Macaca fascicularis: one gene and its partners. The protein of the gene in region 5 purifies or fractionates together with the protein of the main gene of each other region. This does not show direct contact. Links are inferred from orthologs where the notes say so. Each region holds a gene or a part of one and is shown on either strand. Other genes may lie near its edges.

Region 1 (6,799 bases), on a different chromosome or scaffold from region 5:
CTTTTCTCAATTACTTGAATGTTATATTCTGAGCACAGCGCAATGAATGTGCCGCTTAGGCTTGGCATTAAACAGCAATCATTAAGCTTAGTAATCCTTTTCTCCTTTAAGTTTTCCTATGTGAATCACTGCTTAAATCCTATCAGTTCCACGTAACAGAACACTAGAATACATGTCCTAACTTTTGCTTTAGTGAGGAATTTAGAATGTGGTAGGCCCGCTTAGTATTCACCGGAATTTCAGTGCACTGCCCTCTCAACGAGATGGGCTCAAGAGCATGAAGGTGAGGTCCTGGTACAGGGCGGCTGCTCAGATCATCTGTACAAACCATTCAGGCGACCACTGGCTCACAAACTTAAAACATCTACTCTTAGGACATGTTTAAATAGCTTGCTGTCACTAAGAAAAGGAAAACTGTTATCTCCAAATGCCCTGTCAACATTTCAAATAATTGTATTTACTTCAGCTGCTCATTACGTGAGACTCTAATAAAAATCTCTCTCTTTCAAGAACTAACACTAATCCAGCTGTCAGCTAGAAACAGATATTCAGCAATACAGTAACATTCAGCCATACGCTAGAGGTGGAAACCAAGAGTTTCCATCATGTAAAATTTGGGGGCCCTGTTATCACAAGGTAAAAAGAAAAAAAAGAGACTGGGGTGAGTCTATGCAGACAAGGACAGAACCCAACTGCATGACATTCGAATTGGGTGTAGGAAGCATTATCGTGGAGATTTCACTATAAATGACATCAATAATCACAAATATTTTTTCAGGTGTAAGGCAAAACTAACAGCTTCAAATTAATTACCGCAAATCATTTAATTGGTGCCCTTGGTGACAAAGAGTTCACTTGGACTTACACTTCAACTGCTGAAGTTCATCTGTATTTGCTAAAATGTTGACAGTCACTGGTCTCAAAATGTTTCCAAATTCTTCACTATTACACTTCAATACAGGTAACAGGGATCAACCAACACCTTCTAATAATTGGAAATAGGGTTATGAACCTAAAAACTTTTTAATTTATTATTTATTTTGAGTTGGAGTTTCATGCTTTTTTTTTTTTTTTTGAGACAGAGTCTTGCTCTGTCACCCAGGTTGGAGTGCAGCGGCATGATCTCGGCTCACTGCAACCTCCGCCACCTGGGTTCAAGTGATTCTCCTGCCCCAGCCTCCCAAGTAGCTGGGACTATAGGCGAGCTTCACCACACTCGGCTAATTTTTGTATTTTTCATAGAGACGGGGTTTCATCATGTTGGTCAGACTGGTCTCAAACTCCCGACCTCAAGTGATCCACCCGCCTGGGCCTCCCAAAGTGCTGGGATTACACGCACGAGCCACGGCGCTGACCTGTAAACATTTTTAAATTGTAACTTTTTCCACGTACCATTATTCTCAGTGACAAATTTAACTTTAACAAGTCAATTTTTTTTTTTTGAGACAGAGTTTTGCTCTTGTTGCCCAAGCTGCAGTGCAATGGCGCGATCTCAGCTCACTGCAACCTCCACCTTCCGGGTTCAAGCGATTCTCCTCCCTCAGCCTCCGAGTAGCTGGGATTATAGGCACATGCCACCATGCCCCGCTAATTTTGTATTTTTAGTAGAGACGGGATTTCTCCATGTTGGGCAGGCTGGTCTCCAGCTCAGACTCAGGTGATTCACCCGCCTCAGCCTCCCAAAGTGCTGGAATTACAGGTGTGAGCCACCGCGCCCCGCCCCGGACAAGTCAAATTTAAAATAAGACCTTTAATTTGCAGTTGTTATTCCCAACAGAAACAAGTAATATGCATATCATGGCGCTTAACACCTGATAAACAATCAGTATTTGCTGAATGAAAGAATGGCCATTAAGGCTGCAAGACTCTTAGAACAGTAGGCAAACAAATAAAACAAATTTATTAAAACGCTCAGAATGACTCGAGCAGGAACCAGTAACTAAATCCTGTCATACATGATTCCATTACTTGTTTCCATTACTATTTTTTTTATTGAAAATTATTAGAAATCGGCCAGGGGCAGTGGCTCACACCTATAATCCCAGCACTTCGGGAGGCCGAGGCGGGTGGATCACCTGAGGTCAGGAGTTTGAGACCAGCCTGATCAACATGGTGAAACGCGTCTCTAATAAAAATACAAAAAATTAGCCGGGCGTGGTGGCGGGCGCCTGTAACCCCAGCTACTTGGTAGGCTGAGGCAGAAGAATCGCTTGAACCTCGGAGGCAGAGGTTGCAGTGGGCCAAGATGGCGCCACTGCACTCCAGCCTAGGCAACAAGAGCAAAATTCCATCTCAAAAAAAAAAAAGAAAAGAAAATTATGAGAAATCAAACTATTTCCTTTGCTACTTTCTCCATGCTAGAACTTAAAAGCATTTAAATCACACTTTAAAAGAATAAACCCAAAGTGTTGCTAACATTTCTGTTCGCCAACTTTTGCTACTCCAATTTTCTAAAGATGTATATAACGACGATTTAGACTGTTGTATAAAATGTAAATACTGGGACAACGAATTTACAATTAAGTTTACATATTATCCATCCCCATTAATTAACATTTCAATCAACCTTTAATTGTGATTGATGCTTATTAAATAAAGGAAGTGAGTTATGCCTAAAGATGCTTTCTTCATGTCAAAATCACAAGGAATATTACACATTAATTCATAATGAGACTTATACTTGTTCATACCAATTTAAATAGGCTAATTAGTATTTAAGTTGAGGAAAAGCAAATATCAAATCTTTTTTTGTTTAAAATAGAAAGGTCTAAACAAAGCTAAATACACCAAATCTCTTAAAATCTTTGTGTTATACATTTGTAAAAACTATTCAACTGCTGATGCCTTCTTTCGTGCAAAGACCTATACTACTTACAAAAATGTACAAAGGAACAAAACGTTAAAGGGGGAAGTTCTGATGCAAACTACACTACAGCTAATTTAACACAATTGAAGCTTGTCGTAACATCTAATTTTTAAAAAAGTTTTCGCATTTTAGATTCCACAACACGCATTCATTACAATAGTTACGAAAATCATGTTTCAAAAGAGGTCTAGTCAGATTGACTTCATCTGCAGAACGGCAACAAAACCCAACTGCTTATGAAGGGTTATGATTTTACCCGCCACCAGTTTTCCGAATGGCTACTTTGTTTCATTTCCCCATATTTAATACAAATACACAATGAGATGGTTAAAAAGTGTGCAACAATTTATAGGGACCAGATGTCAACAAATTAGCAGTCTAAAGCAAGACTGACAAATAATAACATCACGCCGATTTTTGTCCAGAAAAATTACAATGGCGGAGGGGAGACATGGGGTGGGAGAAGGGGTGGGAGAGGTGAATAAGAGCTTAACTCTACACGCACATCTCCCAAAAAGAGCTCTTTCTTTCCACTACGGGATTATTGTAAAGGGCCCCTAAGCTTTAGATAGTGTTCAGGCAGGGTGCGTTAGTGTCAGCCTGGCTGGGATGGATTCGTGCAAGGGATGTCACTCAAATGCAAGTGAAAGTACGGTCCTTGCGACTTATTTCGAGTTTTCTTTGCAACAGTAGCCTAACGCCGCTACTCAGCGACTTCTATCTAAAAACCAGAATATCAGCAGCCCCCGCGTCATCAATCAAGCTGAAAAAGGAAGCTTTGGGGGCAAAGGGGCAACAGGGCACCCCTAAATCTTTGAGGCTCGCTCTGGGTAGAGGCAGCAACCTGAGCTGCTCTGGGGCTCCTGCCGCTCCAGGGGACTCCCGGAGCCCCCGGGCCGCCTCCCTGGGCCGGCGCGGCGGGGAGGGCCCCACTCCACACCCCGGGCTCGCCCCGCGGTCCAGCCCCAGGGAGGTTAACCCCTTCGGCGCCCCCCACGCCCTCCCCAGGCGGGGACCGGAGCCCCCGTCCCTCTGCCTCTCCGGGACTAGGGGGCCTGGGTGGCTCAGGGGGACGAAGGCGCGACGGGCGCGGAGGCGGCGGGTGGCTCCGGCCTAGGCCCGGGCAGCGTGTCCCGGCGCCCTCCCCCACTCCCACACGCTCGCTCCGGGCAGGGCGCGGGCGCCCGCCCGCTGCGGCGTCCGCCCGCCCCGGGCTGGGGCCCCTTCCGGCCGAAGGCGCGGACCGGCGGCTACCTGCGGGCTGTGGAGGGCCATGGCTGCCCGTTTCAATGGGACTCGGCGTTCCTCCGGCTGCTCACGCTGCTTCCCCCGCCGCCGCCATCTTCTCGCCCGCACATACACACTCGCATCGGCCGCCGCGCCTGCGCACTGGCCGCGCGCCGCGGGGCGCGGGGAGGCCGGCGTGCTGCTGCGCCTGCGCGGCCGACAGGTGGGCGTGCGTCTGCCGGGCCGCGGACCTTCCCTGCCCCGCCTGGAACCGGCCGGACTCTGAGCCTCGCGACCCTCGGGCGGAAGATGCCCGGCGGCTGCATTCTAAGAGCCCGCCGGGTCCTGCCTGCGAAGCCGGAAGGGGAGGCAGCAGGCAGGTGGAGGTGGCAACGCCGAGGCGCCGGCGGGCCCCGGCTCCTCACCTACTGGCACCTGGGCCCCCGGAGCTCGGGAGCCGCGGCCTTTGGTCGGCCGGGGGCCCACGAGCCGCCCTCGGCGTCCCTGGGCCCGGGCCTCGGCAGTGTTCGCATTAGATCTCCGAGGAGGGTCAGGTTTATGAAGATCCCATTGCCGCCCGTTCATTCATTCGTTCACTCTTCATTCACTCCCCAAGTCCTGCCTGGGCGCCTGGGCCACGCCTTTTGCTAGGCATTAGGGGAAAAAAGGAAAACAGAAACAAAACGTAGGGCATAAAAGCACGCGCAAAGTGCTTGACATGAGGCCTGGCAAGTAGCAAGCACTCAGCAAGTGCTACGTGTTGCACACGTGCGTGCGTGTGCACGGCAAACCAGCCTTGGGGGTCGTTGGTCCATTCATTATTGAGAAGCAGGCGCCCCTGCCTGACTGCACCGTTTTCCAGCCAGTGGGCCCACCCTCGGGTTTTGGCCCCTTTTCTAGCTGTGATTTCAGACAAGCGACTTCACTTCACTAAGCGCTGGTCTCCTCACCTGTGAATAATACAAATATGTCGTCAAGCGTAAGATTTCTGTGAAGTTCAAATTAGATTAATGTGAGCACACTGGCCAAGAGAACAGTCAATAAAAATTGGCTACTGGGATTGTTACTAATAACCACTATCATTGCTTTCATTTGTTCAACAAACACCTACAGAGAGTCTGCTCTTGCTAGACCTTACGCTAAGCAGAGGAGATTAACAGGAAGATCCATTCCCACGTTACATAAAATAGGGAGCCTGATCTCTTCATAAGTGGGATGCCATGAAACATATAAGTGGGCCAGGCGCGGTGGCTCACGCCTGGAATCCCACACATTGGGAGGCCGAGGCGGGCGGATCACAGTGAAGAGTTGGAGACCAGTCTGGCCAATATGATGAAACCCCATCTGTACTAAAAATACAGAAATTGGCGGGTTGTAGTGATCCAATGTAGTGATTGTTCCAATCAATCTTGCTTCGATCCTGATATGTCTTTTTTTTTTTTTTTTTTTGAGACGGAGTCTCGCTCTGTCGCCCAGGCTGGAGTGCAGTGGCCGGATCTCAGCTCACTGCAAGCTCCGCCTCCCGGGTTCACGCCATTCTCCTGTCTCAGCCTCCTGAGTAGCTGGGACTACAGGCGCCCGCCACCTCGCCCGGCTAGTTTTTTGTATTTTTTAGTAGAGACGGGGTTTCACCGTGTTAGCCAGGATGGTCTCGATCTCCTGACCTAGTGATCCGCCCGTCTCGGCCTCCCAAAGTGCTGGGATTACAGGCTTGAGCCACCGCGCCCGGCCCTGATACGTCTTTTAAGCTGATTTTACTGTTTATTTGTTGACAATTGAAGACATTTTAATATGGATTGGATATAGGTGATCTTTGTGAATTATTGGTAATTTTATAGTGTAATATTGATACTGCACTCCTTGAGAGAATGTCCTTATTGTGAGGTGATGCATTCTGAATAATTTAGGAGTGAAGGCCATAATGCCTGTGAACTATTGTTTAATGGTTCAACAAAAGATAAAATCATATACACACATAAACATTCAGGGAGAGACAGCAAATATGGCAAAATGTTTACAATTGTAGGCTCTAAGTAGTGCTATATATTTCAGCTTTTCTCTATGTTTGAAAATTTTTATAACAAAAAGTTGAGGAAAACAATACAATATAGTGTCTATGCTATGATTTTAACCATGGAAAAGCGATATCTGCACATGGATAGAAACTGGGGGACGTGAAAACTCACGGGTGATTTATGGTTGTCTCTCTGGCTGGGGGTGGTGGCTCACACCTGTAATCTCAGCACTTTGGGAGGCTGAGATGGGTGGATCGCCTGAGGTCAGGAGTTCAAGACCAGCCTCATCAACACGGTGAAACCCCGTCTCTACTAAAATTACAAAAATTAGTCAGGCGTTGTGGCAGGTGCTTGTAATCCCAGCTACTCAGGAGGCTGAGGCAGAAGAATCACTTGAACCCGGGAGGCAGAGGTTGCAGGGAGCCGAGATGATACCATCATTGCACTCCAGCCTGGGCAAGAGTGAAATTCTAAGAAAAATATATATATATAAATAAAAATATATATATATCTTATATATATCTATATATATAGTTGTTTGTCTGATTTTTATCATACAGTTGCTTGAATAACAAATAAAAGTGATAATAAACAAAAGATCCCAGGCCGGGCGCGGTGGCTCATGCCTATAGTCCCAGCACTTTGGGAGGCGGGTGGATCACCTGAGCTCAAGCGTTCGAGACCAGCCTGG
Region 2 (5,415 bases), on a different chromosome or scaffold from region 5:
ATACTAAAAATTAGCTGGGCACAGTGGCACGTGCCTGTAGTCCCAACTACTCAGGAGGCTGAGGCAGGAGAATTGCTTGAATCCAGGAGGCAGAGGTTGCAGTGAGCCGAGACCAAGACACTGCACTCCAGCCTGAGCAACAGAGTGAGACCCTGTCTCTGAAGAAAAAAACAACAAAAGTGTACCTTACCTCATATTCACCAATCTGAACTCAAAATTCATCCCAGCCCCTACCCCAGGGACTCCTTCACAAACTCAGGACATTGAAATCTCCACATGATCTGTGTTCAAGTCAGGAAATGTGGGGGTTGTGGCCGGGCACAGTAGCTCACGCCTGTAATCCCAGCACTTTGGGAGGCTGAGGCAGGTGGATCACTTGAGGCCAGGAGTTTGAGACCAGCCTGGCCAACACGGCAAAACCCCATTGCTACCAAAAACACAAAAATTAGCTAGGCATGGTGGTGCACATCTGTAATCCCAGCTACTCAGGAGGCTGAGGCAAGAAAATCCCTTGAACTTGGGAGGTGGAGGTTGCAGTGAGCCAAGAACATCGCATCACTGCACTCCAGTCTGGGCAACAGAGCAAGCCTCTGTCTCAAAAAAAAAAAAAAAAAAAAGTGGGGGTTGTCCCGGACACCCTCTCACACCAAGTGGGTGCCCAACGCTGCCACCTGACTGGCCTCAGCATCCCGCCTGCCTGCACGCCTCCTCCAGAAGGGTCTCTTCTCAGCAGGGCCGGTCTTTGAACTAGGTGGGTCAGGTCTCTCTCTGGGGGTTGTCTCTGTCTTGACACCTCGCCGTGGCCCTGGCTACCTCTCCAACTTCACTTCCTACTGTGTACCTCCAATAACCCGCCCCTCCCTGCTCCTCCTGCCTGGTACGCTCTGAACAGATACCTACTTGTCTCTTTCACACCCAAAAGTCCTCAGATTCTCACTGAGATGTCTTTTTGGAGAGGCCTTTGCTTCCCATCATGCAATTCCCCTGTCACTGCCTCCTTACCCTCTTTCATTTTCTTCATAGAATGTGGGTATTTGAGTATTTGCTTTCATCTCTCCCCGGTGCCCACAATATAAGCTCCCCAAGGACAAAGGCTGTGTTTCTCCCTGACATATTCCCAATACCGGGAACAGCAGTTGGCACACAGTAGGTACTGAGCACACAGCTGGGGAAGGAATGAAAACCTAAGCTCTGCTCCTGCTCCACACCTGAAATGTCACTTCCTCAGAAGCCTCCCTCCCCACCATGTAACTCTTCTCTCCCTTCGCATTATCATCTGTTAAAGCGCTTACTAAAATAGACAATTACACGTGTGTTTGCATTGTAAAAGTTAACATCTGCCCAGCATTCTGGACCAGGGTCAGCCACCCACAGCCTGAGGGCCCTCCCAAGCAGCCAGTGACGAGACGGCAGCCAGTGACGAGACGGCTGCCAGTGACGAGACGGCTGCCAGTGCTCTGGGTTACCAGCATATCCCCTTGGCCACTCCAGCAGACAGAGTACAGCGGCTGTGAGACCCTCAGATGGAGTCTTGTGGACTGACTGAGCTCCCCTGGGTCACATGGCCGGTGGAAAACAGGGCTCTGACTGGCTGGGTCTAGGTCATGTGCCCACCCAGGAGGAACTGAGTGGTTCACAAGGAATGCTGGGTGCTATTACCTGGGGAAGGGAAAAGAGATGTTGGGCTAACCTTGAAAAGTTTTTATCCAAGGACTCTTTCCATAATGGAAAAAGGAACTAGTGTATAAAAATTCACCAGTACAACCAATTTTTTTTTTCTTTTCTCTTTTTGTTTTTTTGGAGACAGGGTCTTGCTGTGTCACCCAGGCTGGAGTTCAGTGGTGTGATCATAGCTCATTGCAGCCTTGATCTCCTGGGTTCAAGTGATCCTCTCACCTCAGGTTCTTAAGTAGCTGGGACTACAGGTGTATTCAACCATGCCTGGCTAATTTTTGTATTTTTTTTGTAGAGATGGAGACTTGCTATGTTGCCCAGGCTGGTCTTGAACTCCTGGCCTCAAGCAATCCTCCTGGCTCGGCTTCCCAAAGTGCTGGGATTACAGACATGAGCCACCACACCCAGCCCTCATAAGTATTTTTTAATAGCACATTAAAAACACACAGCTAATAAGCAGAGAAAATAATAAGCCTCTTAAAATTCTCCTTGTATGCCTTTCCTCCTTGCTGTGTAAAATGTGTTCACTGTTCTTCTATTTCAGTGCTATAGGGACAGTTAAGAGCTACAAATGAAGGTGATACGGAATTTAATTTCACAAAAGAAATGAGGGACAAAACAAGGAATGATCAGTAGTTTGCTAAATGCCCTGTTTATTCTGCAAACAAGGCTTAGAAATGTATAGACACAATTTGTAGGCTGAGAAATCTCTGTGTCGTTGTGAGTTCACAACTATACTTCCGCAAAAGCAGTAGTGACAGCCGCTTCTGAACACATTAACCTACCATTGTTTTGTTTAGAGCGAACATAGTGAGAATGGATTCCTAATGGCCTGTTTCTCTAAGTGATCATCACAGTTCGCTGCTCTAGTCTTTAAGAACAAGTGGAGCCTTCACTTGAGCCGCCACCTCCTTGCCGTTCAGGGCTTCAACAATTGCAAGTGCAAACTCGAAGCTGGTCCCAGGCCCCCGGCTTGTAAGAATCAGGCCGTCCTTTTCCACACGATTCTCAGAGTAGGTGTAATGACCTGCAAAGTAGAAACAGAAAAGGTGACATTCTAATGGGCTATGTGATGAGAAAGACGATTACTTACCAATTCAATTCACTATGACAGCATGTAAACCCAACCTGCAGGCTAGCCATTCAAAAACATTTACTTGGCGCTCCAAGCTCTTAGAAGCCCCCTACAAGAGTATTTTTAAAACTGCAGAGCAAAGGGTGAGAGAAACCACTGTTAGAATGAAACAAATATGTGTAAGTTAAATGCAGCTGCTAAGACTTTAAGTGTCGGGGGAGATGTCAGTGAATGACAGTTACTCACATCACTATTTTACAACAAAGCTCCAGTGTCAATTCTGAAGTGCCAGGGAAAGGATGAGGGGATGCGGCAATGCTGAAGGCAGAAGCCACCCTGATCAACATGTGGCGGCACGCACACCCTCTGATGCCTCAAAAACAACCACAGCACAACATACTGGAGGCGGGTATGCATGTGTGTGTGCGCGTGCAGGTAGAAAGCACATTCACTCTCAAGGACTACTTTCCTTCTGCATCCCCGCAACCCCTGTGCCAACCAGTTGGCTATTTCTTGGCAAATATAACATCAAAACTGGGATTCTTGAGCATGGATGCCCTGAGCTCTGCCCCTCCACAGCAGGTAGTCACCAGCCTCTCCACTGCACACAGAGCCTAACCTCTCCCGCTATACCCATCCCTATCACTCTCCCACCTGGAGCTTCCCTTACTGAATACAACAGGTTCTCTCCTGCTCCAGGATGAGCTCAAGGGCTGCTCCCTTCACCCATAGACCAGCTCTGGGTTCCCAGTTTCTTGCCCCTTTGGTTTCAGCATCAACAAAAATCCCTCAGAGAGGGTATCTGTGACCACCCCCTCCTCCCCAAATTACGTTCCTCTGTTGACTCTATCACCGCATCCTATTTACTGCCCTCCCAGCATTGACACAATCTATCACAATCTATAAACATTTCATTTCCTTGTTTATTGTTTACTCTTTAAAAGGGCTGGGCCTTCATCAGTCCCTGTCTGGCCAATGATATCCATGGCACACAAGAGGCGCCCCTGAAGTGTGAGGTCAAAGGCACCAAACACCATTCTCGACTGATCTCTTTTCTCCACCTGTCCCCTGCTTTAAAGAGGAAGGATCTCTGCATGATTATAGCTCTCCCTTCTGGCTGTGCACCCCTTCAACCCATGCCCAGCACCCAAAAGCTCTCTCTCCAGAGTGTGAAGCAGGGCACAGCCAGTTCCCCATGGAAAGCCCTTGACAACTCTCTCCAGCACCTGAAGGTCACGCTGAACTCCATGTCACGGGGCATGGAGCCCTCTGCGGTCCGGCCTTCGCACAGAGACTGGGCTGGGACCAGAAGGGAGATGGAAAGGAACCTGCTGTCTGGGTAGAAGCTGGTGGTGCCTGCACTAAGCTGGTGACAGTGATCCAGAGGAAATGGAGGTTTGAAATGAAGGCCTAGGTGAGGAGGCTTCAAGAATGACTCCCAGCTGCCTATCCCGGGTGACTGGATGATGGTGACACCACTTAGTGATGTGGGGACACAGAACAGATTTAGCGGAGGGGAAGCGACAAAGCTCCTCTGTGAACTCCTGTTTTATCCTGATGCACCTGCCACACAGGCAGGCGGGTGGCTCTGGCCACTAGAACTCAGTGCAGACCTGGGAACACCCCGAAGGCACAGCTTTCTCTTCTTCTGTTCCCAGTGCCAGGTACTAAGGAGGAGCTTAGGAAACGTCTGTTCAATGAACACACATAAAAATTCATCCGAAAACCTCCCTTCAACAGAAGCAGAGTGCTTCTGCTGTATTAATGAGCTTTTGAAACCACACAATGTTCATTTCTTTTCCAAGGAGATTAACAATGGCTACAGGAACTTGTCTTACTGTCATTAGAAACCAAGCCACCGCTGATCGAAGGCAGTGAGTTATCTCAATTGATCGTTCACAGGCAGTTACTCCTTGTTCTACTCTTTCTCCTCTTCTCACTACTGTGCTTGACTAATCTAAAAAATTTAAAAAATCAGGTCACCCACCAAAATAAATGAATAGAGTACATTAAAAATTTCCAATTTAACTATTGTAGAGAAAAAGAGGATCCCTAGTTTGAGGGGAAAAGGTTTATCATAATCTGGCCTCATTTACTGATGGTTAAACCAGGCCAAGACTATTTCAAATGATAACCTAGAAACTGGGTGGACTAGGTCTTCCAGAGCGACGGTGAGATGCACAGCTGAGAGTGGGACAACACAAGGCACAACTGTAAATGGTTCACTGTACAGTATCTTTGTGGCTAAAACAGTGCAAATAGGGTTTAAACTGGTTAAATATGCTTAAAGGTTCTACGGTTCTTGTCGGACTTTTAATCGGGAAAAGCAAAAGGTTTAAGGTTGCCACCTGCATCCACCTAGTGGCGAAGACAGCACACACATCCTGTCAGCGCTAGGAAGGCACTGTGCAAACTTGAGGGTGGAACTGTGACCCTATAGTGAATTCAGATTTTACACTTCCCGTTCCAACCAGCAGAAGGCATTGATTTTTATTTCTTTATTTTTTTAAACTAGACTCCAAGTCTTAAAGTCTCTTCAGAGAAAAAGCAATGGGAAGCCGGGCACGGTGGCTCATGCCTGTAATTCCAACACTCTGAGAGGCCAAGGCAGGTGAATCACCTGAGGTCAGGATTTGGAGACCAGCCTGACCAACATGGTGAAACCC
Region 3 (6,072 bases), on a different chromosome or scaffold from region 5:
CAGTTCCAGACAAGACTTTAAAGCGCTAAAACCAGAAAGATATCTTGACTGCTACTTCCTGAGAATATCCGAGCCAGAACTAGCTAGTTAAGCCTCCCAGATAGCTGACCCATAGAAACTATGAAACAGTAAGTGTTTTTAAGCCTTTAACAAAATTAAAATAAAGTTTTTGGGTAATCTGTTATACAGCAATGGGTAACTAATATACGTAACTATTATCCTTACAATACATGCATACCTTTCCTCTAAAACTAAAGTCTTACGCTCTCCAGAATCCAAGCTTGATTCTGTTGGTGTGTTATATGTATATCCACTGGTCTGAGGCTTTAGGGGAACATGCTGTGCAGTCATAACATTATCTTCCTTTTTTGAGCTTCTTGTAGATCTATAAAAACGATAAATGTATGAGTGTTTATACTTCTTCAAAATAAAATTTTCTTCCAGAAACAATATACGGGTGGGTACAAAGACAATACAATATTGGCTATAATGAATATCAGATCACCCTGTTCAGGCTCTGACATCTGCAACTAGCTAAGGAAGGAAATTGGTTTCTAGGACCTACCAAGAGTCCTAATTTGAAAAATTCTGATGAGAGGAATGGAGAAGACACCTGCCCAGGAAGGTGGTGAAAGGCACATGAGGAGATCCTATGTATAAGTGGCTTATGATATATATTACAGTTAATCTATGATGTTTTACTGGAGAATCCATAAACAACTAAAACTGTCTTCTTTGATATCCCTAGTCAGCCTACTGAGGGGCAATAGGGTCCTCACAGGGACTCAGCTCATCTCTTTGGTAGTTAGTTTATTCCAAATATATGCAAACAAGATACACTATTCCTAGTGACTGTATATTTCTTCAGGTTCTAGTATCCTCCTGGGTACTACCATTCGAGTCAAAAGAAATAAAAGTGATTACAAGAGAATACTATGAACAACTGTATGCCAACAAATTAGATAACCTAGATGAAATGGACAAACTCCTAGAAACACACAAATTATCAAAATTGATTCAAGAGGAAATAGTCTCAAAATACCATGAATCAGTAATCAAAAACAAACTACCCATATAGAAAAGCTCAGGCACAGGTGGCTTCACTGCTGAATTTTACCAAACATCCAAAGAAGAATTAAGACAAATTATTTACAAACTGTTTCAAAAAATAGAGAGATAATACTTCCCAATTCATTGTATAAAGCCAGTATTACCATGATACTAAAACTAAACAAAGACAACAGAAGGAAAGCAAGCTACAGATTGGAATCCCTCAACAAAATACTAGCAAATTCCAGCAACATAATAAAAAAAAGAGAGACAAAAGCAGAGAATGGCCCGAAAAAGTGAAACAGAAGGTGTATGGGATTTCTTTATGCACTATAATGACATACACTAATATATTTTAGGACACACTGCCATTTATTTCAGTATATCCTCAGCGCCTTACTGCTTCTAACACAAAGTATGTATTACCTCAGTAGGTTTTTGGAACTAATAAGAATTCATTAAAAGCATCTAGCAAATATTTGGCACATAGTATGAGCTCAAAAAAATGTTAACTATTATCATCCTAAGAAGAAAAGTATTAAGCTATATTCCTAACTATTGAAATCACATTAATCTCACTTAAAAGGAAACAATTTGAACTATACACTTAAAAAAGATAAAGATAGTAAATTTTATGTTATGTGTTTTTTGTTTGTTTGTTTTGTGAATCTCTACTTTGGGAGCCCAAGGCAGGAGATTCACTTCACACCAGGAGTTCGAGACAAACCTAGGCAACAAAGCAAGACCTCATTTCTATAACAAATTAAAAAATTAGCCAGGTGTGGTGGTCTACACCTATAGTCCTAGCTACAAAGGAAGCTAAGGCTAGAGGATTACCTGACCCAGGAGTTTGAGGTTACAGTGGGCTGTGATCATGCCACTGTACTCCAGCCTAGGCAACAGAGGAAGACTCTGTCTCTTTAAAAAAAAAAAAAAGTTTAACTCTTCGACGACAATATCTTATTAAATTTAACAGTCATAATCCCAGGTGCTATGTACTACTCCCTATTTTAATATCAGGAAACAAGTGCAGAGTACTACTTTGCCTGTGTGTCACCCAGCTAATGGTAGAGACTGGATTTAATACTGGGTATGTCAGAGTATAGAGCTCTTCATGCTAATTACTGCCTGTCTATAAATGATTAAATAGCACAAATTATTAAATGCTGAACAACAAAAGTAACTATATTATACACATAACAGATATTACCTAGAACAATCAAGATTTTTCTTCTTAGCCAAGTCTTCCTCATCACTTTCCAATGGCTCACTCAGCAAACAACTGGAAATTTCATCATGACCAACGGTACCTCCAGAACCTTTAGCATTTAAAAACTTCTGTACTCTTTGGTTGCCTTTAGTTGCTATCTTCTGCCTTTTAAGTGGAATCGTTTTTTCTCCAATATTCTTAGATGACTGATTTGTTTTCTTAGCAGATTTTTGTCTACTGTTGCGATGCACTGGTAATTCATTTCTTATTGAAGAATTGCTATAAACAGGACCTGAAGGATTCAATGATAACCTAAAGTTAGTATGTTTGTCCAGATGATTTGGCTCACTGAAATACCAACAGTATTTATATTTGCATATAAACATATACACATACACACACACACACATCTCATAGGCTAATTTCCAAATTAAATTCTTTAAACAATGTAGCTCTTCAGTTTACAGATACATGAAACAGGTCCTTCAAATCTGTCACAGGCTTCAAGAAACACTCTCTGGCTTTGCCCACCGCCCTTCTGGCCATCCTTAATATTGGATATTCCCCAAGGTGACAGCTTCAGCTTTTCACTCCATATACCTTCTTCATTACCCAAGTGGGAACAGAGGCAGTAGGCTTGACATTGACATGTTTTTTCTATTAATAATTTTAATTGGCTGAGGTCAATTCTATCATTATAAGCATTTTATATTTAATTATGTTTATTTAAGCTTCCTAGTTACTCCTACCTTCAGTCTTCCTTGCAAGAAAAAAAAAAACAAAGTTGTCTAGTCTAGTATTAAATAAGTTGGCCTAAAAAAACTGTTGAAAATTTCCGTAATTAGCATAGGGAAAATACTAAGTAAACAGAAAACTCTGCTACTGAGCAGAGTGGCAGAGGTGTTTTCAAATTCATGCTGGATAATTTTAAAGGCCCAGTCCAATGTTAAACTATGTCACTCACAATCCTTGAAATTCTTGTATAAGGCCTGTCCTGAGAAAAACCTTAAGGGAGACGTAATTTCCCTATTCATTAGATGGTATGCTCTCACTAAGCTTTTTATGAACCATAAGAATAGCTCTATACCATACTCAAATGTGTTCAAATTGGTCAACACCTGTTACAGGAGTTATGTAACCAGGCATAGTCATTAGTGGCAGACAAAAGAAAGGAACCACAGCAAGAAACTTTTAGAAGGGTCAAGACTAGGAGAGTAGAACAAGAGGGTCAAAAACTGATTCCATCTGGGAATAATATTTAGTTGGATCAAGAAAAACAACATAGAAACCATTAAGAAACTGTTGAGACTAAACCCCCAAACATATGAGAATCATCAACTTGTAGCCCTCCAAGTTACCAGATTTGTGCTGAAAACATTTAAAAATTAATAATGAAGAATAAATTTGGTTTACTTGTTGTAATATTTCTATAAGTGTGGTCAAAAGGGATGTGAGATTGTGGACATAAGTTAGAGCTGACAGTAATAAATAGCTGTGGTATTAGTTGGTTTTCTAGGAGAAAAGCCATGAGAAGAATTAACAAATTTAAACCAAAGGGTTTCAGGACATTGAATCAGATGAAAGATGAACATTAGCTTATTTTTGAGACTCACCTATTTAGGCTGTATGATGACTGGAAGGACTTGAAGGACTTATCTACCCAGAGCTTTAATTACTATCTATATGCTGATACCTATAATATCCACCTACCGCTCTCCTCTAAAACTGCCTCTCTTGCTTTATTTCCTATCTTAATGAAAAATACAACTACCTATTCTATCCAGATATCTAAATCAGAAACTTGAATTATGCAAGACTACTACTCCTATCCACAATCATGCCCTAAATCCTATCAATTCTACTTTATTAATGCCTTTCAAATCTTTCAAGCTCTCCCTCCTGTCATCAGCAGAAGCCCTCATCATTTCATATCTGGATTATATCAGTCTCTTTACTAATCTCCCCCATTCTAGTCTTGTTATTTTTCAATCCATTCTTTACACTGCTGCAAGAATCACCTTTGGAAAACAAAAACTGGATCATTACAACCCTGCTTAATTATTTTAGTTATTATGTATAGCTTCAGGATAAAGTCCAAATACTTTCAACATCAATTCATATCTACATCTAGATTTGCTTATTTCATAAACTGCATCTCCCAAAACCCCCCTCCAAACAAACAAACCAAAAAAAGCCATCAGTACTGAACTACCTATAGTTTCTCTAAAGCACTGGTTGTCAAAAGGCAGTCTCTAGACCAGCAAGATCAGCATTATCTGGGAATTTGAAATGCAAATTATCATGACTCACCTCAGACCCAGGGAATCAAAGATTTTTCAGAGCAGGGCCCAGTAACCTGTATCTTAATAAGCCCCCAGACAATTCTAAAGCATGCTAAATTTAAAAAAGATCAAGCTCTCTGCTCCAGATCTCTGCACAAGCTACTTCTACTTAAAATATTCCATAACTTCCTCCTTACTCCACTCAATCACTTAGCTAACTCCTAATTCATCCTTCAGGAAGCTTTCCCTAATTTCCAAGTCTTAGGTAGCTTGCTATCAACATACGACTGTTTACTTACCTCTACCCCGCTCCTCCAGCAGACTAATTCCTTGACCCCAAGTAATTGACTGGTATTTTATCTATGTATATTCCCAATGCCTAATGACAGAGGCAGGACTATGGTGAAACAAGAGTAGCCTCAGCTGGAAAATTCAAGAAGGTGCTCATTTTTAGGTCTGTGCAAGTACAGAACCCGAACTAATACAATCCTGTGACTGAGTGCCTTAAATTTTTCACCCTAGTGTCTCATTGTCTTACCCTAGTCCTGGTCCTACTTTACCTCATTCCTGTCCCATGGCAAGTACTCCATATACATACATTTCTTCGTATATATGAAAGGGAACAGTGTCACATGTACTACACGCAGGCTGGGGGCAAGTCAAGTTGTTCTTCTTAACTTCAGACTTCAATTTCTTCTCCCATCAGATGACAGTTTAGACTATATGATATATAAGGATTCCTCCACTTTTTCAACTCCCAGTTTGATCAAAAATCCAACATCTATTTCAGGACTGTTAAATAAGTGTTTTTTGATAGTTTCAGAGATCTAGCACATTTATCCAAGTTCTGTAAGAACTTATTTACCCATCTATTTATGTGCTCATCTGACACAGTTGTGATGCACTGGTAATTTCTTTAGCATTTCAGGCATCCTGGAGCAGAAAAGTGAGCTCCTCAAAGCAGTAACAGTATTATTTAACACTTCAGTACTAACATATGCCAAACCTACTATGCTAATAGCATTTAAACCTTATAAAAACTCAATGAGGTAATCATGTTACAGAATGAGAAACTAAACAAAGTAATCTACTCAAAGTGGAAGAGTGATACTTTGAACTCAGATCTGACTCCAAAATCCAAAGGCTGTAACAAAATAAATACTTGCTGCTATCAATCAAGAAACTCAATGATTTAATAATTCATAGCAGGGAGTGGATGGATAGCATTAGGAGATATACCTAATGTAAATGACGAGTTAATGGGTGCAGCGCACCAACATGGCACATGTATACATATGTAACAAACCTGCACATTATGCACATGTACCCTAGAACTTAAAGTATAATAAAAAAAATTAAAAAATAATAATTCATAGCAATAAGGCCTCACAGATACAATGCCATAGTTGTACTAATCTTTCACTTATTAATCTAAATGCCCAACAGTCAATAGTATTTGTGTATGAGAATGCCACCTTATGATCCACCAATCTTTTCAGGATCATTTCCTTTAAAAAAGTGACAATTCTT
Region 4 (6,072 bases), on a different chromosome or scaffold from region 5:
CCCAGGTAATTCTGACAAAATCCTCAGAAGCTTATTGCATCTTTGCCTCTGCTGTGGCTTTGTACACTGTGGCATTTTGAGCTCAGAACTTCTTGGTGAAAATCTTTAAAATGATTCCAAATTCAGTGAAATGGAAGATGTCACATACTACCTGTGGAAGTGAAGGGCAGGGAGGGAGATGTACCTTTCTGGAAAGCACTTGACAATTTACCAAAAGCCTTTAAAAGATTCATGTATTCATGACCTTTAACCTGTTCATTCCTCTTCTAGGATTTTATCCAAGATAATTATGCAAAACCCCAAAGATTTATACACAAAGGTGTTCATTGTAGATCACAGCATTTATAAAAAACATGAATAAACATGGGAAGAGCCCACACATACAGTAATGGTAGGTGGGAAAAGGAGGCTTTTCATTTGTACACTGAGGACAATTTCAGAGTATATTTCCTTCCAATTGTCACTGCATACACCAAACAGGGTAAGTGAGGTCATTCTGCTTCTTGATGTATCTTTATGCATTCCCCAGATTTTCCACACTACTCTTTTTTTTTTTTTTTTTTTTTTTTTGAGACGGAGTCTCGCTCTGTCGCCCAGGCTGGAGTACAGTGGCCGGCTCTCAGCTCACTGCAAGCTCCGCCTCCCAGGTTCACGCCATTCTCCTGCCTCAGCCTCCCGAGTAGCTGGGACTACAGGCGCCCGCCACCTCGCCCGGCTAATTTTTTTGTATTTTTTAGTAGAGACGGGGTTTCACTGTGCTAGCCAGGATGGTCTCGATCTCCTGACCTCGTGATCCGCCCGTCTCGGCCTCCCAAAGTGCTGGGATTACAGACGTGAGCCACCGCGCCCAGCCCACACTACTCTTATAAATTAGAAGGAAAATACAAATAAAATTATCTCAAGCTCCCACCACTGCCACAGAATTACACCTGCCCACCACCTACCCTTTCAACCCCATCTTACATACCTTTGCGAGCTGGTTTTTATTTGCTTTGTTTTCTTCACTTGGGCTGGCCCGTGCCTTATTGTTTTCGGTGCTGCCTTCATTTAAGCCCTGATTTCCAAAGATTCTGGCACCACTGCCACCCTCCTCCCATAAAGGGCCACACTGCTTCAGCACTCGACCAGTGGGCTCAAGATTCTCTTCTGCATCTTCCAAAGAAAGATATTTCATTAAAACTGAGAACCTGAGAGAGTTACACAGGTGATTACTGTATTAATGATTCCAAAATTACCTGGGTCCCTACTTGGCCACAGGGGAAGTAAGTTTCCTTGAGACAAATTCTAATGTCAAGACAGTGGGAAACATAGGAAGAAAAAGTTGGTAAAAGTGGGAAGATAAATGTGTTGTTTTTTTTTTGTTTTTTTTTTTTTTTTGAGACGGAGTCTCGCTTTGTCGCCCAGGCTGGAGTGCAGTGGCCGGATCTCAGCTCACTGCAAGCTCCGCCTCCCGGGTTTACGCCATTCTCCTGCCTCAGCCTCCCGAGTAGCTGGGACTACAGGCGCCCACCACCTCGCCCGGCTAGTTTTTTGTATTTTTAGTAGAGACTGGGTTTCACCATATTAGCCAGGATGGTCTCGATCTCCTGACCTCGTGATCCGCCCGTCTCGGCCTCCCAAAGTGCTGGGATTACAGGCTTGAGCCACCGCGCCCGGCCTGATAAATGTTAAAATAACCCACTGACCAGCGTTTTGATCAGCTTCCCAACAGCAGAGTGCTTTTTAGATAAATTATGTTTTAACATGAATTTTTACGGGAAAGTCTTCCATTTGCACCCAAAACCGAGAACACAAACAGGCTCTAAAGTGGTGCTGTCCAATGTATTAGCCACTAGCTATATGTGGCCATTTACATTTAAATTAAAATTAAACATTTAAAAGTTAGCTCCCCAGTCTCATTGCACAAGTGGCAGGTACACACTATACTGAACAGCACAGATCACTGGAGGGTGCTGTTTAAAGTCTCAAAGACCAAGTTACTTACAGATTTCTAAAAGTACAGCCAATACATAGTGGATAATAAAATACCTCATCACATGGAGAACTATGATGCCAGAAACAGTATCTGACATGTAACATCTGGCAATCAGTATTTATTGATACCATTTTAAATAAATGACTTGAGAAGGTAATAAGATGTTACATCTCTTTTTTTTTTTTTTTTTTTTTGAGACAGAGTCTCACTCTGTTGCCCAGGCTGGAGTGCAGTGGTGTGACCTCAGCTCACTGCAACCGCCACCTCCCAGGTTCAAGCGATTCTCCTGCCTCAGTCTCCTGAGTAGCTGGGATTACAGGCACCCACCACCACACCCAGCTAATTTTTGTATTTTCAGTAGAGACGGGGTTTCACCATGTTCGTCAGACTGGTCTCGAACTCCTGACCTCGTGATCCGCCCGCCTTGGCCTCCCGAAGTGCTGGGATTACAGGTGTGAGCCACCACACCAGGCCTTTACATCTCGTTTCTTTCCTCTGAGTCACAAAATTAAACTCGGTTCATGTTTAAAAAAAAAAAAAAAATCAAAATTATCACAAGTTAATAGAAATCTAAATATTTCCACCAGGAAAACAATTCTCGTTATCATTTTGGTCTTCTAAGGGCATCTTATTTCTAAACAGGTTAATTCTTCCCTGATGCGTCCCCCAGCACCCTGTACTCCCACCCCATTATGTACTATCACACCAGTTTACCTGTCTCCACCATCCACCCTCCACGCCTGAACTACACTCCCCCTGAAGCAGGGCCAGGACCTAGTAAAAAATGTCTGCATACAGAACATGCTCAATAAACAACTCCTAAATGAATGACAGAACAGTTACCACCTGTGACTTGGTTAAAAATAAATATTTGGAAAATTACCAACACAACCATTTTGAAGGCCTATAAATATCAGTCATGGACTTACTATTTCTCTTCCCTTGGTTCATCTGAAGCATGGCAATTATTGCAGATTCAATATTATAATTTTCAGCTTCCAGATTCTGGACTATTAAATTAAAATCCTATCCAAGAAACAAACAAACAAAAAAATCACTTCAAAACTCTCAGTATATTTTTCTGCCTAGCTCTACTTCAATAATCATAAACATAAAGATGTAATAGTGAGAATTAATCATAAACATAAAGATGTAATAGTGAGAATTAAGACAAGGTTTCAGGACCTTTTCCATTTAGAAAATGTCAATTTTCAATAAGGTTGGTCCCTTGAAATAACCATCTAATGTACATTTATAAATGAACGCCCTGTATAAAACTGCATTTGTACTACTGCAAACACTAGTCAGGAAAAATTAAATCCGCATACTCCCTGAGAACTTTGAGCAGTACTGGGTGAAGTCTAGCAAACAACAGGGAAATGAATAAACAGCTCTCATTAAGCCACATATGCTAATCGAACTATAAATCTCATGGGCCTATTTTGCCCCACAAGGTGCTGATATGCTGGAGAGGTCCTATGAAACTAAGACGTAAGCTAGGCACAGCAACACGTAAGCTAGGCACAGCAACACGTAAGCTAGGCACAGCAACACTTGCTTCTAAATCATTCCTGCATGACAGAAATACTAACTGAACATCCAGTTGCATTACAAACTTTCTGGACAGCATCCTCTACTTCGTCTCTCAGGTCGTCTTCAGAGTCCATTCCCTTTGTCTTGATCTTTTCTCTTTTATTTGATTCATCTTGATGAAGCATCTGAAACTAAAGGAAACAAATAATAATCAGGGAACTGTGTTGAGAATCAAACTATGTTCACAATCTTCAACAAAAGACACTCTAATCTCGAAAAGCACCCAGGGAAACTTGTCAATCCAAATCCTAAAGCCACAAAGAACAGTTCACTTGGGATCCATGAGACCTTTACAGCCTGGGCCTTACATCAGAAAAGCTAAAATCATCCCTCTGTAGATGCTCAACCACCTTCTTCTGCTTCCCATTAATGCAGGGAGATAGGTAAATGGGCAAAGACAGCTCTATTTTTTGAACGTAAAAGTATAGTGGACTCCAGCAACATGCAGTATATTCCTCGGAATGTTAATACAAAGCATTCTATTATAAAATTAAACGCTAAGAATTTGACAAAGAGTTACAGGAGTCTTTGACCCAGTAGTTTCAGTTTTGAAATTTAGCCAAAGGAAATAATATCAAATAGAGAAAAGATTTATGGTCCTGGTGCAGTGGCTCACACCTGTAATTCCAGCACTTTGGAGGGCTGATAGGGGTGGGTCACTTCACCTCAGGAGTTCAAAACCAGCCTGGGCAACAAAGTGACATCCCATCTCTACAAAAAAACACAAAGAATTCTTTGGGCATGGTGGCATGCACCTGTAGTCCCAGCTACTCAGGAGGCTGAGGTGGGAGGATGGCTTGAGCCCAGGAGGTAGAGGCTGCAGTGAGCCGAGATCACGCCACTGCATTCCAGCCTGGGCAACAGAGCTAGACCTTGTCTCGAAAAAGTAAAGAAAAGAAAAGAAAAGATTTAGGTAAAAGGGCTGACAGTGTTACTTATACTAGTGAATAACAAAACCACCGAAAGGCTTTATAGTATGGGTATGGTTAAATAACCACTGTAAATCCACAGAATGATGTCTTCATTCCCACCAAAGGAAGAAACACAATCATCACTCCCACCGTTATTACTTAACAATATTTTGGAGGTAACAGCCAAAGCCATTAGCTAAAATAAATTATAAGTATAAAATTAAAAAGAAAAAAGTAATCTGTCCTTGTAAATGATATAATTCTGTAACTGAAACAAGAGAATCAACAAAAAAAACTACCGCAAACCAAAAAAATTACAGCAAATCATATACCTGATAAGACTCTAGCATCTAGCATATATTAAAAACTCTTACAACTCAAAAACAAAAAGGCAGAACCAATTAAAAAATAGGTAAAAGACTTGAATAGACATTTCTCCAAAGATATACAGATGGCTGAAAAGCACATGAGAAGACGTTCAATGTCATTAGCTATTAAGAAAATGCAATTCCAAACTTTAAGATACTGGCCAGGCGCGGTGGCTCACGCCTGTAATCCCAGCACTTTGGGAGGCCGAGGTGGGCAGATCACGAGGTAAGGAGATAGAGACCATCCTGGCTAACACGATGAAATCCCGGCTAACACGATGAAACCCCATCTCCACTAAAAATACAAAAAATTAGCTGGGCGTGGTGGCCGGTGCCTGTAGTACCAGCTACTCGGGAGGCTGAGGCAGGAGAATGGCGTAAACCCAGGAGGCAGAGCTTGCAGTGAGCCGAGATCACGCCACTGCACTCCAGGCTGGGCGACAGAGCAAGACTCCGTATCAAAAAACAAAAACTTTAAGATACTAAGTAGGATGACCATTTAAGAAAAAAACTAAAATGTTAGGATGAAGAGAAAACAAAGCCTGGCAAGAAAAACAGTGCAGCTGCTGTGGAAAACAGTTTGGCAGTTCCTCAAAAAGTTCAATTTACGTTTACCATATGACCCAGCAATTCCACTCCGAGGTATATACAAAAAGACTGAAAATAAGCATTTGTAAAAATACTGTACACAAATACGCACAGCAGCACTATAGCCAAAAGGTGGGAACAACCTAAACGCTCATTAACAGATGAATAGATGTACAAAAAATCATCTCTCCATATAATGGAATATTATTCAGCCATAAAAAAAGAATGAAGTACTGATACATGCTACACCATGAATGACTCTCAAAAACATCATACTGAGGAAAGAAGCCACAAAGAAAAAGTCACATATAATTCCATTTACATAAAATGTCCAGAATAGGCAAATTCGCAGAGAAGGAAGGCAAACTGGTGGTTGCTAGGGGACAGGGGGAATTGGGAGTCACTGCTTAATGGGCATAAGGTTTTCTTTTTGGGGTGATGAAAATATTTTGGGACTAGACGGAGGACATGGTGGTACAACAAACACTGGGGATGTACTGAGTACCACTGGACTGTATGTTTTTAAATGATTAATTTTATGTTATGGGAATTTTGCTTTAATTTTTAAAAAGAGAGGGGTTCTGTGGAATACCTAAGTATGTAATTAACATTTTGTTAATTAACAGCTCTCATAGAC
Region 5 (6,557 bases):
TCTTTTCCGGTTGCTTTCCATTTCCTTTTCCACTGTGGTCCTTGCCTTTCCCAAGCTGACCAGAACTATGCACAAAACCAGCCTTCAATAAATATCAACACTGAAGCTTCAGCAGGTTGTTAACTCCTGTAGAGCTATCTTAAATGCTGTATATAAGTGCAAAGTTTTACGGCGCCTCAGAGATCTCTAAGAACACTGTAAATATCCCAGGTTTAATTAGTAGTCCCGGAGTTAGGTAATGGCCTGTGGCTTTCTGCGCTAGGTCTCTTGGGGTTTCCAGTCTTCACAGGTTGCCTGCAACTATGATGTGCACATATACAGTCCTCTTTCTCAAATACGGCATAAATCCTCTTTAGACTTTCCTAGGCACTTACAATTATTGAACACACATGCAGATTGATTCTCATTCTCTCAAAGTTTGAAAAACAACTCAGTGCTTCAACCTAGGTCTCGTTAGATATTTTTTCACTCAAATTGTGGTCTGGAGTTCTACTTCCTAAGGGAAATGAAAAAACAATAAATTCCCAGACTGGTGTTGATGCTCATTCTCTTTAAGCGGGTCGACTATTTGCTTTGTAGATCCTTGACGGGTGCGGTGCGGGGTAGAAGGAGCGCGATCCAACTCTGCATTTCTGAATTAGCTCTCTCACGGCGACAGGTCTGCCCAGTCGGGGTTGTAAGCGGACTTGACAGGTTTGTTCTGGGCTGACGGCCATTGACGAGGTTCTCAGACCAGATAAGTCACTTGGCTGAGTCTACAGTAGGTGGGGCGCGCTCACCAGCTCAGGGGTAGTGACTGGACGTTTGTTGCAACATCAGAGAATGCAAGCTCTGGGCTGCAGCAGGAGATAACCCGCAAGCACAGAACTAAAAGGGTTCACCCTAAGGGGCAGGGCATCAGCGAGGGAGAGGCCCGAGACCCCTAGCGCCCAGATCCTTTTCCCACGTTTGGGAAGGCGCAGTATAGGTCGATCTAGAGCTAGGAGTCTCAGGTCTCCGTCCTTGGCTTGCTCTTAGGGTAGCAGGCGAGGAATAGGACCAGCTTGGGGACTCTCTCCCCGCGTTCTGTAAGAATCGGCGGCAGCCAGCAGGCGGGGAGGCGGGGGCACGTGTTTGGATGTGGGTGCTTGTGTAACCAGCTCCCCAAGCGCCAGCCCCGACAGCGCTCCTTCGGGAGGCTGGTCCGAGTCCCTGTTTCCGCCGCGGCGCGGGAAGGGCTGGGGTTCTGCAGCCTGCACCAGGCGAGAACACCCCGAGCAAAAGAAGAGTACTTGCCTCCGGAGCTATCACTGGGGAGTGGGAATTTGGAAAGTTCCCCAACTAGGAACACACGTGACCTCCTTCGGAAAGTAGTTCCGACTGTGGCCCGTGTATCCTTCCACCCCCTTTTGAACCCTCCTAGGTCTCCTTGCCCCGCCCACTCGCTGGGCTGCAGCTTCCTACCGTTCCGTACTTTCCACTCAACCTGGTAACCCCGAACGTGCATGGTCTGGCCGGGGCGCGTGGAGCCTGGCCCCGGGCGATCCATCCCGCCGGGTTTTCACGGAGGCCAAGGGGGGGCGGGGCTAGGTGGTCTCTAAGAACCGAGCTTGAGTCCGACGCGGCGAACTGACTTGGAGCCCGAGGGGGAGAGATGCTCTAGTCTCCTAGGGGCACCGGAGCGGGCGCAGGAGAGGGCTGCGGGGTGCGTCCTACTCACGGGGATCCTCTTTCAGTTCATTTAGATAGGTGCCCTTTGGGCTCTGGAAATTCAACGGCGATGTGTTCACGTTCAGCACGCTCGGCTGAGAGCTTTCATTTTTAGGGCAAACAAGCCGAGTTACCGGGGAAGCGAGAGGTGGGGCGCTACAAGGGAGCCGGATGAGGTGATGCACGCTGGAAACACAATAGCAGGTTGCTCTTTGTGCTAAGACTGACATCCTGAGGACACAGGGTTGGGGAAAGGAGGAATCTCTAGGCAAAGGCTGCTACAGTCAAATCTCTGCGAACGACTGTGATCGACAGCGATGCAAAAGAGCGAATGCAGTCCACGCCGCGGAAATCCAGGGGCAGAGGCAGGGGGGAGGGTATTACCCTTGCAAGGACCGTCCCTGCATTTCCCTGTATACTGACCAGCGTGGTCACCTGGTCCTTTCCACCTGTGCACAGGTAACCTGAGACTCGAGTCAGTGACACTGCTCAACGCACCCATCTCAGCTTTCATCATCAGTCCTCCACCCCCGCCCCGCAACAGCCTACCCTGCCTCCGGCTGGGTTTCTGGGCAGAGGCCGAGGCTTAGCTCGTTATCCTCGCCTCGCGCTGCTGCAAAAGCAGCCGCGGCAAGTGCAGTTGCAGGCTGGCGGCTCGGAACCGGCCCGAGCGAGCTCTAGGCAGCCACACTGGGCATGCTCAGTAGAGCCTACGGCTTGGGGGCTTTGCGCTCGCACCCGGAGCTACCGCTTCTGTCCCCGCCTACCGCCCCCTGCCCTGCCCTCCCCTCGCCCGGCACGGTCCAGTCCGCCTCTCGTTCAGCTCCCGCCTCCCCTCGGTCTCCCGAGGAGCCCGGGCTCCCGGCGCGGCGGCGGAGGGGGCGGGCAGGCCGGCGGGCGGTGATGTGGCGGGACTCTTTATGCACTGCGGCAGGATACGCGCTCGGGCGCCGGGACGCGGCTGCGCTCAGTTCTCTCCTCTCGGAAGCTGCAGCCATGATGGAAGTTTGAGAGTTGAGCCGCTGTGAGGCGAGGCCGGGCTCAGGCGAGGGAGATGAGAGACGGCGGCGGCCGCGGCCCGGAGCCCCTCTCAGCGCCTGTGAGCAGCCGCGGGGGCAGCGCCCTCGGGGAGCCGGCCGGCCTGCGGCGGCGGCAGCGGCGGCGTTTCTCGCCTCCTCTTCGTCTTTTCTAACCGTGCAGCCGCTTCCTCGGCTTCTCTTGAAGGGGAAGGTGGAAGCCGTGGGCTCGGGCGGGAGCCGGCTGAGGCGCGGCGGCGGCGGCGGCACCTCCCGCTCCTGGAGCGGGGGGGAGAAGCGGCGGCCGCGGCGGCCGCGGCGGCTGCAGCTCCAGGGAGGGGGTCTGAGTCGCCTGTCACCATTTCCAGGGCTGGGAACGCCGGAGAGTTGGTCTCTCCCCTTCTACTGCCTCCAACACGGCGGCGGCGGCGGCGGCACATCCAGGGACCCGGGCCGGTTTTAAACCTCCCCTCCGCCGCCGCCGCACCCCCCGTGGCCCGGGCTCCGGAGGCCGCCGGAGGAGGCAGCCGTTCCGAGGATTATTCGTCTTCTCCCCATTCCGCTGCCGCTGCTGCCAGGCCTCTGGCTGCTGAGGAGAAGCAGGCCCAGTCGCTGCAACCATCCAGCAGCCGCCGCAGCAGCCATTACCCGGCTGCGGTCCAGAGCCAAGCGGCGGCAGAGCGAGGGGCATCAGCTACCGCCAAGTCCAGAGCCATTTCCATCCTGCAGAAGAAGCCCCGCCACCAGCAGCTTCTGCCATCTCTCTCCTCCTTTTTCTTCAGCCACAGGCTCCCAGACATGACAGCCATCATCAAAGAGATCGTTAGCAGAAACAAAAGGAGATATCAAGAGGATGGATTCGACTTAGACTTGACCTGTATCCATTTCTGCGGCTGCTCCTCTTTGCCTTTCTGTCACTCTCTTAGAACGTGGGAGTAGACGGATGCGAAAATGTCCCTAGTTTGGGCGACTATAACATTTAACCCTGGTCGGGTTGCTAGGTCATATATTTTGTGTTTCTTTTCTTGTATTCAACCTAGGGTGTGTTCGGCTAGACAGAACTCTTGCCTGGTTGCAAGTGTCGAGGCACCGATTGCTTGCTTAGGCTGTCTATACGGTCTCTTCCTGAGGGCTATTGTCCGTTAATACAGAATACAGTATGCTGTTAGTGGATTAGAGAGCTCGGTAATCCGGTCTCCTAAATGAACAAAAAAGTAGACGCTTTGAGGTTGAGCATATTTCGATTAAATCTTGGCTTAGGCCCTAGATCAAGGGTTTAGATCAGAATAAAATGAAAATTAGTGTTGCACGTATGCATATTGCATCAGAATCTTGCAGTGATTGTTTTAGTTTCCTGGGTTGCATTGATAGATTCTTTTAAAATATGACTGATTTGCATAACTTTAGAAGCAGAATAATTTTCAGTATATATGGTGCACATTGAGTGCAAAAAGTAGTTTTGTTAATGTTTTACACTTAAGTTACAACTTTGGACTGTATTTAGAAGTTTTGTAGTTTGAAATCAATAATGCCATAATATACCTTATAAGGCGTTCTTACTAGATCTTTGTTATATTTACCTTTTTCTCTCCCTATGGGATGATGTAGGATAGGGCTTGAAATTTGCACTTCAGTAGCGTTTAATGTTCAGTGCTCTTGTCATAAACATGGAATGGATATTGAGTAGTTTTTGATCCCAGATGACAATGTGTAGGTTCAAGGGTATTGTGTGTGGCAAGTGAAGATTGCAAAGATAAAACTTCAGTTCATGCTTGAAATTTAAGTATTGTGATGCCAGAATTGCTGCTCACCGTTTTTAGATTTCAGGTTCTCTGACATCTTTTGGTACTGTTAATTTCACTGATTTGTGTAGAATGTCAAGTGAATTTTACCAGCTAATATCCAGAAATGCTGGCAAGAGAAGTTTACTCCAGCTTTAGATTGTAGGTATGTTAGCTTTTTTCATACAGTGTATTAAATTTACTGAGTCAGCTTGTTGAATAAGACAGAAGCCCAAGAATTTTAACAGTGTATAGCTTTAGTTGTCTAAAAGTTAGGCCTTCGGGCTTCAAAAGTTAGTGGTCATCGAAAAGCATGAATCTTTGCAGTTTCAGGTACAACAGACTGGTTTTGATTAGGGATGGGGATGGGGCCCTCATTTTGCAGAATGGAAAGTATTGACAGGAATTGAGAGCTATTGGTAGGCCAGTGTATAAGGTATGTGAAAACAGAAGTTATTGGTCTGAAGTGACTGAAGCATTTAGGCTCTATCAAGGCCTAAAATTTGGTAATATGAGTTTGGTAATGCGAATTGTGGCAGTGGACAATATTTAGTTAAAATTATGTAATTGCATAAGTACTAGCAAAGTATTTTTAATAAAAATTATTTCTTAGCAAGTATCAGTTGCATTTTGTCTAAAGGTAGCGTGACACTGCAGTGTCTATATGTCCTGCTAAAAATTGTGGGGAAGATTTTTTTTTAAGACAACGTTTATATCGGGAGAGGTTTTATTCCCTTGGATTATGTTAGCTGCATATACATGTGCACAGTTAATTTTGCCCAAGTTTTTGTTTTGAAATGAATATAAAACTTACTGAAGAAGTAGCCTCCCAAAATTTAGTTTTCTGTTAAGTCAGTAATATTATTTTAAAACAGTATTTGCAAATTTTGAAGTTGGCATTAATTGAAAATGTTACTAAGGCTAAACTGGAAGATAAAAATGTTACTAAGGCTAAACCCGCTTGCCCAGAAGATAATTATGGAAAAAATTCTTTTGTGACTTCCAAAGCAGTCTACTATTAGCATTTGGACTACTATTAGCAGTCATCCAAATATATAGGAACAAAAAATTAAATGTTTATGTAACTTTGAAAAAAAAGCCTCTGAAGAAAATAATTAAATGCTGTCTGGGAGACAGATTTCTTTCAGCACTTAAAGTACATACACACTACTTTTACTTTTCCCACTTTATTTAAAATTGTCAGGGTTATTAAGACCTTAAAATTATTCTACCAGGTTTTTACATGTGAGCTGTGATGTGACTGGCATTTCCTTTGATTTCAGAGTATGTGGGTCTCTACACATGAAATTTATGTGACTTAAAACTTTCTCTAAAATTGTACTTTTAGTTATGCATAGAAAGCAGTATCAAATATTGTGTCAAATGACTAATAACACTTGATTTCTAGAGTTGTGGTTTTATTGAGCCAAAAGTTGGTATGAAAAAAAAGTCAGTGAGGAAAGTCAATGAAGTGCTTGCTTTTTTGATAATTGCACTCCCAATAATTTTGATATTCCAACGTACTTGGTTTGCTTGTTTTTCTGTTTATGGGGGTGGGAAGGCATTAAAATGGTCATTGAGGACTTTGTCTTTGGCATGCTGTAGTATTTATTTCGGCAGCTAACCTGTGAAAAGTTAAATTCCTTTATGAAAGTAGTGATTGGAGTATTTTTATCTGGTAAAGAAAGATTAATAATGAAGCCATTTCTCCGAGGAAAACTGAGGACAATAATTCAGTTTTAAAATATCGCAAAATTAAATTATTCTAAATATTTGTTAGTAGGGTTATATATTAATATTAGTCTGAAATATAGTGCTGAATTTGAGACTATAGAAAAATAGTGTATTTGGGGTATGTGGAAACTTTAGGCTTCTGTTGTATTTTTATTGTTTGGTAGATTTGCCTCTTTTCAAATAAATCTTCACAGGGAATACTTTTAACTACTAGAGAGTACAGTGACTATTGAAGTTACCTAAATTACCTCAAGGTAAGTGATTACTGAAATTAATCATGAGGGTTTTAAAAAATATTCTATTCACAATATTTATTTTACATTGTTTTGTATCTGCT

Evidence for each region.
Region 1: the proteins of PTEN (region 5) and USP10 purify together in Homo sapiens (affinity purification with western blotting; 4 studies listed by BioGRID, with this or other methods). This does not show direct contact. The link is inferred for Macaca fascicularis from reciprocal best matches to the Homo sapiens genes PTEN and USP10.
Region 2: the proteins of PTEN (region 5) and PARK7 purify together in Homo sapiens (affinity purification with western blotting; 4 studies listed by BioGRID, with this or other methods). This does not show direct contact. The link is inferred for Macaca fascicularis from reciprocal best matches to the Homo sapiens genes PTEN and PARK7.
Region 3: the proteins of PTEN (region 5) and CENPC purify together in Homo sapiens (affinity purification with western blotting; 3 studies listed by BioGRID, with this or other methods). This does not show direct contact. The link is inferred for Macaca fascicularis from reciprocal best matches to the Homo sapiens genes PTEN and CENPC.
Region 4: the proteins of PTEN (region 5) and OTUD3 purify together in Homo sapiens (affinity purification with western blotting; 3 studies listed by BioGRID and IntAct, with this or other methods). This does not show direct contact. The link is inferred for Macaca fascicularis from reciprocal best matches to the Homo sapiens genes PTEN and OTUD3.

What each region holds. Positions count from the first base shown.
Region 1 is NC_088394.1:80,575,148-80,581,946, reverse strand, and holds the start of USP10 (ubiquitin carboxyl-terminal hydrolase 10), read right to left. Parts: upstream 4,229-6,799; 5' UTR 4,142-4,228; coding exon 4,121-4,141; intron 1-4,120. UniProt on the Homo sapiens protein: Hydrolase that can remove conjugated ubiquitin from target proteins such as p53/TP53, RPS2/us5, RPS3/us3, RPS10/eS10, BECN1, SNX3 and CFTR.
Region 2 is NC_088375.1:226,886,921-226,892,335, forward strand, and holds the end of PARK7 (Parkinson disease protein 7), read right to left. Parts: intron 2,702-5,415; coding exon 2,541-2,701; 3' UTR 2,310-2,540; downstream 1-2,309. UniProt on the Homo sapiens protein: Multifunctional protein with controversial molecular function which plays an important role in cell protection against oxidative stress and cell death acting as oxidative stress sensor and redox-sensitive chaperone and protease.
Region 3 is NC_088379.1:66,250,172-66,256,243, reverse strand, and holds part of CENPC (centromere protein C), read right to left. Parts: intron 2,553-6,072; coding exon 2,261-2,552; intron 386-2,260; coding exon 239-385; intron 1-238. UniProt on the Homo sapiens protein: Component of the CENPA-NAC (nucleosome-associated) complex, a complex that plays a central role in assembly of kinetochore proteins, mitotic progression and chromosome segregation.
Region 4 is NC_088375.1:215,186,487-215,192,558, forward strand, and holds part of OTUD3 (OTU domain-containing protein 3), read right to left. Parts: intron 3,700-6,072; coding exon 3,568-3,699; intron 3,002-3,567; coding exon 2,905-3,001; intron 1,153-2,904; coding exon 968-1,152; intron 1-967.
Region 5 is NC_088383.1:96,733,184-96,739,740, forward strand, and holds the start of PTEN (phosphatidylinositol 3,4,5-trisphosphate 3-phosphatase and dual-specificity protein phosphatase PTEN), read left to right. Parts: upstream 1-2,658; 5' UTR 2,659-3,503; coding exon 3,504-3,582; intron 3,583-6,557. Other genes in the region: KLLN (killin), read right to left, coding at 989-1,528. UniProt on the Homo sapiens protein: Dual-specificity protein phosphatase, dephosphorylating tyrosine-, serine- and threonine-phosphorylated proteins.